2 linked regions of the Coturnix japonica genome follow. The protein of the gene in region 2 binds, or shares a complex with, the protein of the main gene of each other region. Links are inferred from orthologs where the notes say so. Each region holds a gene or a part of one and is shown on either strand. Other genes may lie near its edges.

Region 1 (4,248 bases), on a different chromosome or scaffold from region 2:
AGAAGTAAGTTCATTTTAGAAACAGAAATTAGCGAGCTTGACCTATTAGTCATTTCTCCACTCCCACCCAAACTATTAGATAAGTAAGTCTGATATAAAGTGCTTGAATTCATTAACATTTCTGAAGAATAGAGGAGACCGAAACACATTCCTTTTAATTTTCCACTTCTTGCTGTCTCTGAAGCAGGAAGATCCTTGTAATTTCATAGGTCAAGCTATGGTTACATCCATTTTGATGAACTGCTGGATTACAGAAGAGAGGACTTGCCAGTTCAAACATATCATACTGATCATAGCTCAGACTCCTGGCTGATAGAACTGACTTCAGAGGAAGCTGGGAACTCCTGGTACTTCTGTAAAACACAAGGTCTTCAAGAGGAGTGTAGATGTGACACTGAGGGAAATGGGTTAGTGGGCATGGTGGATGGTTGGATTCAATGACCTTAGCAGTCTTTTACAACCTCAGTGATTCTCTGACACTCACAGGATTGTCAAGCCTAGTGTGATATACCAAACATAATGGACATGGTGGAGAGAGCTGGAGTTGGACTAGATGATGTTTGTGGTCTTTTCCAACTTTAATTATTCTATGGTTCTATGTTCCTCAGCCACTGAGTCGGGCAGCCCCCATTAGCTGTGGAGGAACTGCATCCTTCTTCCCTGATCTGCTGAGTCCTGGGGGCTACCCCAGTGTTGGGAAGAGGGTTCCCAACAGCACACCAGGCTGTGCTTTGGGAAATACTTTGGAAATTGGGGAGTGTTTCTGTTGAAGAGGGAGGCCTGGAGTTAGCAGTCAAGGTGCTGGGTCCCCAGTTGGCCCTACGATTACCTTCCAGTTAAGTGTCCTTGGAGAGGAGGTTTAGCACTTCAGCGGGAGCACCTTGCAGCGAGCAGAGGGACGGTATCAGGGAGCTGATTTCAGCACTCGAGAGATCTTTTCTTACTCAGAAGTACTGTAAGCTCCTGACAAACCGCACAGAGCGCCCGATGCTGTGCTATGGGATGGCCGCAGGTAGGGAGCACGTCCTGGAGAGGCAGGGAAAACGTTTGTCCCATCGGAGCGGCCAGAACCTGCGCACTGCTCCGTGCCCGTGTCCCCTCCTCTCCGGGGGCAACCCGGACCTGCACCGGGTCCCCGCGTCCCATCCCTACCCGCTGCTCGCCCTCCTTCAGCGGAGGTGCGGAGCGGCTCTCCCCTCGGGACGGGCTGAGGGGGAAGAGAAAAGCGGTGCCCTGTCCCTATACCAGCCCCCTATGCCCGCAGCCCGTGCCCGGTCCCTATATCCCCAGCCCCGGCCCCGGGCAGCCCCGGGAGGCGCGGCGGGAGCTGGGGGCGGGGGCTGCCGGCCGGGGCGGGGGCTGGCGCGGGGCTGGGACGATAAAAGCGGGGGTAATTGCATTTAGGCAAATGAGGCAGCCTCGGCCCTCCCCATCGCCAGGTCTATAAAGTGCGGAGCGCTCCCGCGGGCGGCCAATGCGCGGCGAGCAGCGCCCGGCTCCCGCTGCGAACGGTGCGTGTCCTTTCGTCCGTCTGTCTGTCCGTCAGTGTGTGCCTGCAGGCTGGAGGGTGCATGTCTGTGTGTTGGTGGGGGTACGTGCTTGTGGACTTCTATGGGTGTATGTCTGTATGATGTGTGGAGCTGCGTAGGAGAAGGAGTGCCTGCATGTGCTTGTGCGTCCACACCTGTGTGCTGCATGTGCAAGCCTGGCTTGGGGTGTATTTGGTGTGTGAGCATCCCTGGACAGAGTGTGTGTGGAGAGCTGAGTGTGCGTGCAGCTCAGGTGTGTGACAGGTGAGCTTATAACTGGGTGTACATGTACGTGGATAGGTGTGTGTGTGTATGTGAGGGTGTATCCAGCTGTGCACACATCTGTATGTGAAAGTGTGTGTCCATATAGCTCTGCCTTGGTCTGAGGATGGGTGCACCTCAATGTGTGTCTGTGTGCTGTGGTGCCCAGCTGCGGGGTGTATGCACACCCAGGGCTGCAAGTGTGTGTTTTTGTGTGTGTGATCTGTCCATGAGTGTGTACGTGTGTAGGTGTGCAGTGTACCCTGCAGGTGCTTACCCTGCACCCCACAGGACATCAAGGCGGCCATGAGGCTTCCGCTGGCTTTCACCGTGCTGCTGCTGGCCTCGGCACAGGCACTGGCTGACGAGATGTCCGCTCCCGATGACCTCAGCTACTGGGCAGACTGGGCTGACGGCGAGCAGAAGGTGAGCACTGAGGCTGAAGGGCTGGGTGGGTGCTGAGGGTGCTGGAGCTGTGCTGAGTGTTGCACTGTCACCCTGCAGGAGGAGCTGCCGCTGCCCCTGGAGCACTTCCTGCAGAGGATGGCAAGGAGACCTCGACCCCAGCAGTTCTTTGGCCTCATGGGCAAGCGGGATGCGGGTGAGCAGGGCAGGGCACCCCTGCATGCTTTGCCAGCACCCGGCCGCACTTCTCAGAGGTCCCCTTCCCTTCTCACACCTTATGTTTTTCTCCAGAGTTTCCCTGTTGATTGTTCAAGTTTAGTTTAGAGGTTTATAAGACAAACCCCCTCTCAGAAAGGAACGGCTTCAAGTTAAACCGCTGAGTACCCAGCAGTAAGGAGCGTGTTGGCATCTTGCAGGTCAGCCTGCGTGCCACTTGGTGCTCTGAGCATGGAAGCAGCTGCATGCACAGCTCCTTGAGCTGAGAGCTGCTCAGAGCCACCTGGCAGTGCATGGGTTTGTCTGACACAAGATTTTGTTGTCTCCTCAAAGAGAAATGCAACTGTAAACATCATCTTAATTTTCCTTGTGCCTCCGGAGTGTGCTTGGTGTAACTTCTGTATTTGATGCTTTAAAGTACTGCAGTAGCATCATATACATTTGCCTGGTTTTGGTCATTTATTTTTTTTCAATTACTCTTCCTTTTTTTTTCCTTTCCTTTCCACCTCCAACCAGGATATGGCCAGATCTCTCACAAAAGTAAGTTAAAAAAAAATGTAAATGTTTTAAATACTTATGTGAAGATACTCTGATGGAGAACAGCGCGTATCGGGGTGCAGGTGGCTGAGTTTAGCTGAGGAATGGCAGCAGCAGAGGTGGATCACTGCTCCACCCCACGGTCACGTCTCAAACCTGTACCCAATATAAGCCGCCACTCGCTGTGAGGTTTCAATCCACATTAAAGAGTGGATGCTGCAGCTCTGAATTTCTCAGGGGGCTCTATGAGCCTTTCTCAGAGGCGAGGCGGGCTTGCTGCCAGGCTCAGAGAGAAGCAATTAAGACAGCAAACTCTGAAAGATTAGAATTGCGAATTCCCAAATCCCTGAGAATGATTCCAGGGATAAGCGAGATGCCGTGAGGTGCTCCCTGTGCTGTCTGGGTGTGAGTCAGCCCCAATCGCAGCAGGGCTGGCTGCTGATCTGCCCTGCAAACAGGAGCAGCCAACACGAGCAGTACGTGTTCTTTGCTTTGTGTCTGTGCCACACCGAGTGGGAGGTGGTGTCAGCAGTGTGCTGTAACCTGCTTGTGCACAAGGACAGGTGTATTCTCTATAGGAGGATGCTTAGATAGGATATGGAAGAACCTAACCAGTTTAAAAATCATTTTCTTGCTTTATGAGAGCTCCTCTGCCCGCAGAGGTCAATAAGTGCTCTGTTCATCACTGGGATTATTTATTGGAAGACCAATTAAAGAGTCAAACACCCTCCTGGCTAAAGTAAAAAAGAACTGCAGCCTTCTGAAGCTGCTTCAGTGCCTGCGGGGGCTGAAATTGTTCCACTGGGCCAGTAGATGAAGTAGCCAGGCAAAATTCTTCCCAAAGAAAAATCTCTGTTTGCCTCAAAAGTCAGCTTAGAGAAAGAAGAATTGCTCCTTCTCCATCCTTACCTGAACTACAGCAGTTGCCACATCTGATACGTGCCAGAGGCCAAAAGCTGGAGTAATTTATCCTCTATAAATCCAGTGGCTTGAGTGCTAACGGAACAGGAAGGTAATAAATATTGCACAAATAGAGCCGGGCTGTCAGAATTAGACATGGCCAGACAGAATCCCACTGGTTCCATCTCTAGTAAAGCTCTGCCTGGTTGATGAGGAGGGTTTGACACCTGCAGGTAGAGTAGGTGCATCGTACAGATGAAAGCTCTGGCAGGACATTGCCTTTAACAAGGCTGACCAAAACTGTATTAGGAAAGGAGTAAGAATTAGTTATTGGCCGTTGATTTTCTGTTGTATTTCAACAAAGAAGTAACACTTGTCAATGTGAGTCAATAATCAGTGT
Region 2 (4,278 bases):
CTCCTGCTGCCACATGGATGGATTCTGAGACATTTAATGGAGTGTGATTTAAAAAAAAAATAAATAAGAGGCATATAAATAGGATCCCAGTTTGATTTCCCAGCCCTGCGTGCTGGTCTGGCTCTGATTCCACACATAACCCAGGATCTTTGCCTTCTGCTCTGCTCACCTGGCAGCAAGGAGGTCCTTCCCTCCTGCAGCAGTGTGGGTGAGTAGCAGTGCTCAGCAATGAATCTGAGTCCCAAGGAGAGGGACGATGCTGGCTGTTTAGTGATGCTCCATCCCATTCCTCACAGATACTGCAGGGGAAATAGGAAAAAACCCACTCTGAAGTCCCTACATATGGATGCAAAGTGGCTTGGATACAACACAGGCTCCCAGTTTTCCTGGGAAGCTGGAGAAAGCAGAATCTCACGGCTCTTTGAAGTGCACGCATTCATAGTGTTCAAAGCCAGAAGTGGACACGTTGTGCTCTGGCACTGACACACCCAATGATGAAGGCCGTGCTGTGCAGTTCCAGAGTGGGCTGCTTGGCCCCAACTGCTGCAGGATGCTGCGTGGCAGCGGCACTGTTTTTCCTGAGCAGACCTTCAAGCTGCCAACCCCAACTCCTGCATTTCCTGCCATTGTTGCAGTGTTCAGAACTCTGTGTCTCTGGATAAGATTAACCTTTGTTTTATTTTATTTTATTGTGGTTGTGCCCAGTGTGAAACAGCTCCAGGTAAAAATGCAGTCCTAGTTTCAAGCAAAAGCCTTTTTATTATTGCCATAGTTTTCTTCTCAGCTGCATCTTATTCATCACAGGGAGAAGCAGCTCGCAGGCTCCTAACCACTCCAGAGACAAACAAAACCTGAGCCTGTTCCTAACAGCCAGAGCATCATCCATCTCCAGCTCTGTTTCCCAAGCTGTCACTGTACTATCTGTAGCAGTGCTGCAATTTCTTGTTGGGAAATGCCCGTGTTAGTTTGTGCAGTACTTACACTTCAACCCAAATCAGGCTGGTGTATGATAGTGCAAATCCACCCCCCACCCCGTTTGCATTTATCCCCAGCCAGAAGGTGTTCTGCTGCCTGGGAAGGAGCACAAAAAGAGGCTCTGCACAGCAGAGTTGTCTTCAGGAAATCAATTGCACTGGAAAATGCATCGTGCCTGGAGCACTGGTAACCAGGAGGGAACTGCAGAGCTGTTTGGGAGCCTTAGTTCATCCCTAGCACCAATGTATAAAGGCATTAAAGACATACATTAAAGATTTTGGAGGGTGTTACACACCAGCTGTGCCTGGAGGATGACCCTCAGCACATGGCTAACTCACGCTCCTCACTTTTTGCTCTGTGCCACCACAGACTGCCAGGCTTTGCCCAACTTCTGTCCTTGGCAGAACACACATGGGATGCTGTTCTGCTGGCTGCTCTCAGCCATCCAGCAGCACCCCCAGAAAGCTGCTGGGGAAGAAAGCAGCTCACTTGTACTGGCTGCAGCCCAGCAAGAGCCATCCATGGGACTTCCCTCCCCTTTCACTCCCCGGTAATAAAATCCAGGTGGTTTTATGAAATTCTGTGGCTCTGCAGGCAATGCAACAACATGCAGTTTAAGCATCACTCTGAGGTCCCCAGCACCTGAGATCAAGAACCAGGAAAGGGCTCCCGCAGTGCATCCAACAGGCATGATTTAGTGACGTGACCATTCTGTGCTAAGCAGTGAGCTAAATGAGGAGGTTGGAAAAGGAATGGACTGCTCTGGAGATGAGCTGGGAAGGGAAAGGATATAAAAGTGGCAGAAGTGCAAGCCCTGTATGCACTACCAACATGCATTAATGGGTTACAAGAGCCTTTTTATGAGCTCTTTTGGCAGAGCTGAGAATGGATTCCCTACAGAGGATTCCCTGAACCACCTGCAAACAGGTCAAGGAAAGGGATTCTATCTCAGTCTCCTTTATTGAACAGAGCTCCATTTGAATTGCAGTGCTTTCCCTGGCCAGATATCAGGCGGAGCTGAGCACAGTGTCCAGGCAGAGGCAATGTGGGAAGCAGCACAGGGTGCAGGGAGGGGTTGGGTGCTCACCTGTCCAGGGCGATGGCTGTCATGGAGTAGATGCTGGCAAAGACGGCAGCGATGGGGAAGAAGTTGTGAAACTTGCAGTAGAGCAGCCCGTAGTACCATTCATTGTGGATGGCGTAAGTGAAGTTCACCACCGTGTTGAAGGCAGACATGGAGGCTTCAGCAAAAGCCAGGTTCACCAAGAAGTAATTGGTGACGGTGCGCATCCTCTTGTGTGCCAAGATGATCCACATCACCACCACGTTCCCCACCACCGACACCACCACGATGAGGGTGTAGGCAATGGCCCATAGGGCCACCTGCCACGGGGGCTGGATGAATTGGTTGGCATAGGACTCGTTCAGGGAGGCATTGAGCAGCCTCCGCTGCTCCAGCTCCGCTTCCAGCGGCGGGGTGTCATTCATTACAGCGTGGTACTGCCAGACCAGGCACGAGGATGCTTCGGGGCTCAGAGCCCTTTGGGTTTAGGGTACAGCAGGTTCGGTGGGGAGGATGCTTCAGGGCACAGCACTCTCTGGGATGAGGATGATTCGGGGAGCAGCGCAGTCTGGGTTTGGAGGTCAGGATGCTTCTGGGTGCAGCAGGTTCAGGGGTGAGAATGCTTTGGAGCACAGCACCGTCCTGGATAAGGGCACGGCTGGCTCAGGGCATGCAGAAGGTTTGGGGCACGAAGGTAGATCGGGGCGCAGGACCCTCCGGGTTCAGAGCACAGCCACGTCGGGGTTTGGGACCCTCCCGGTTCCAGGCGCAGCTGATTCAGGGTGCTGATCCTTTCCTCTTCTGGGTGCAGCCGCAGCAGCGTGTGTATCCATGGCAGAGCACAGCCGTGTCGGGATGGCAGCCCCCTCTCGCTGTGCAGGGACGCAGCACGGCCGGGCAGCGTTCCCCACCTTCCAGTCGCTTCGGTTCGGTCCGGGCTGATGCTGGAGCGGGGCCGGGACCCTCTGGGCGCAGCCGGAGCTCGGATGCTGCCGCTGCTTTTGTAGGCGGCGCGGGCGGTGCCTGAGAGCGGGGAGCGGAGCCGGGAGCCCAGAGCCCTCCCCCGCTCCCCCCCCAGCTGCCCCTCGCCCCCTCCTCACCTCCCTCTGCTGCGTTCGCCTCTCCCGTTCACCCCAGAGCTTCCGTACTGCCAGTGGACAGGCGGGGGTGGGGGATCGATCCCAACGGCTTCACACAACCAACGAAAAACGAAAACCCAACCCAAATATTTGACTTTCGTAATGAGGTCTTTGATTTTCTTGCCTAAAGCAGCGCTAACGGGGCGGTCCGGCTCTGTGCCCCTTCCCTAATACAAAGCAAGGAAAGAGCTCCCGGGGGGTGGCAAATCCTTCCGAAAATTACCGCTGTCATTTGTACGTGGTTCATCTGCAGGCACTGAGCTCTCTGCCCCCAGTCCAGGTTTCTGACATCCACCAGACGGGGCTGATTTTAACTTACTCATCCAGTATCGTGTTATGGCCGAGCGTGGGCGCAAAGCGCACCGCTGTGTGCTGGGAACGATGGTTTTCCCTTAGGATGCACCGATGCAATGAAGACAAAAAGCACCTCTGGAAGCAGAGCTTTGCTAAAGGATGCTGCGGACTCCGATATCACCTGGGAACCGCTGGAAACCAACACTGCGAACCTCGGAGTGGGAACGGCATTGCTGCTCGTGTGTAGGGAGGATGCTCAGCTCGTAAGCTGAAGCAAGCAGGAGGGACTCCGAAAATCTTTAATTCTTGGCACAGGCTCCGCTGTTGAAGTGAGACGGAGCTTTTTAACGGCGGGACGGACGAACGAGGAGGTGGATTTCAGCTTAGAGCCGGAGCTGCACTGAGGGTCCCCTCTTCTTGCATCCGGACCGCTCGATGGCAGCACTGCCTAAAAATGCGGCAGAGGGACGGCTGAGCAGCCAGCCGGCTTGGGGAGGTTTGCTAGCGACTGTTTCCAACCTTTCCCTTCGCTGCTTTGGGGCATTAATGTGAATACGACCAAACCCCAAAGGAGGGGAGGCCCTGGCAATGGGGGACAGCTTCAGCAGCCACCTCAGTGCACCACAGCAAACCCTCTCCCATTCCAGCAAGTCCCTCTGTGCCCCACCTGATTAACAGCACCCCATTGCAGGGCACAGAGCCGTCACACCCATTTCTCCACCGTTTTCTCACTGGAAATAAAGAGGTGATGCATTATGCACATTCCTGTTGGAAAGAACCACCTATTTTCCCCTGTTCTGCTGCTAT

The links.
Region 1: the proteins of TACR1 (region 2) and TAC1 are in contact, whole or in part, in a cryo-EM structure (PDB 7P02), measured with the Homo sapiens proteins. The link is inferred for Coturnix japonica from reciprocal best matches to the Homo sapiens genes TACR1 and TAC1. Residues at the interface, in NP_001049.1 of Homo sapiens: Gln24, Phe25, Asn85, Asn89, Tyr92, Ala93, Asn96, Trp98, His108, Asn109, Ile113, Gln165, Met174, Arg177, Val179, Cys180, Met181, Ile182, His197, Val200, Phe264, Phe267, Phe268, Tyr278, Leu279, Ile283, Gln284, Tyr287, Met291; in NP_003173.1 of Homo sapiens: Lys60, Pro61, Gln62, Gln63, Phe64, Phe65, Gly66, Leu67, Met68.

What each region holds. Positions count from the first base shown.
Region 1 is NC_029517.1:22,502,818-22,507,065, forward strand, and holds the start of TAC1 (protachykinin-1), read left to right. Parts: upstream 1-1,392; 5' UTR 1,393-1,511; intron 1,512-1,548; exon of another isoform or gene 1,549-1,591; intron 1,592-2,081; 5' UTR 2,082-2,096; coding exon 2,097-2,216; intron 2,217-2,294; coding exon 2,295-2,391; intron 2,392-2,927; coding exon 2,928-2,951; intron 2,952-4,248. UniProt on the Homo sapiens protein: Tachykinins are active peptides which excite neurons, evoke behavioral responses, are potent vasodilators and secretagogues, and contract (directly or indirectly) many smooth muscles.
Region 2 is NC_029537.1:1,181,887-1,186,164, forward strand, and holds the start of TACR1 (substance-P receptor), read right to left. Parts: upstream 3,097-4,278; 5' UTR 2,464-3,096; coding exon 2,063-2,463; intron 1-2,062. UniProt on the Homo sapiens protein: This is a receptor for the tachykinin neuropeptide substance P. It is probably associated with G proteins that activate a phosphatidylinositol-calcium second messenger system.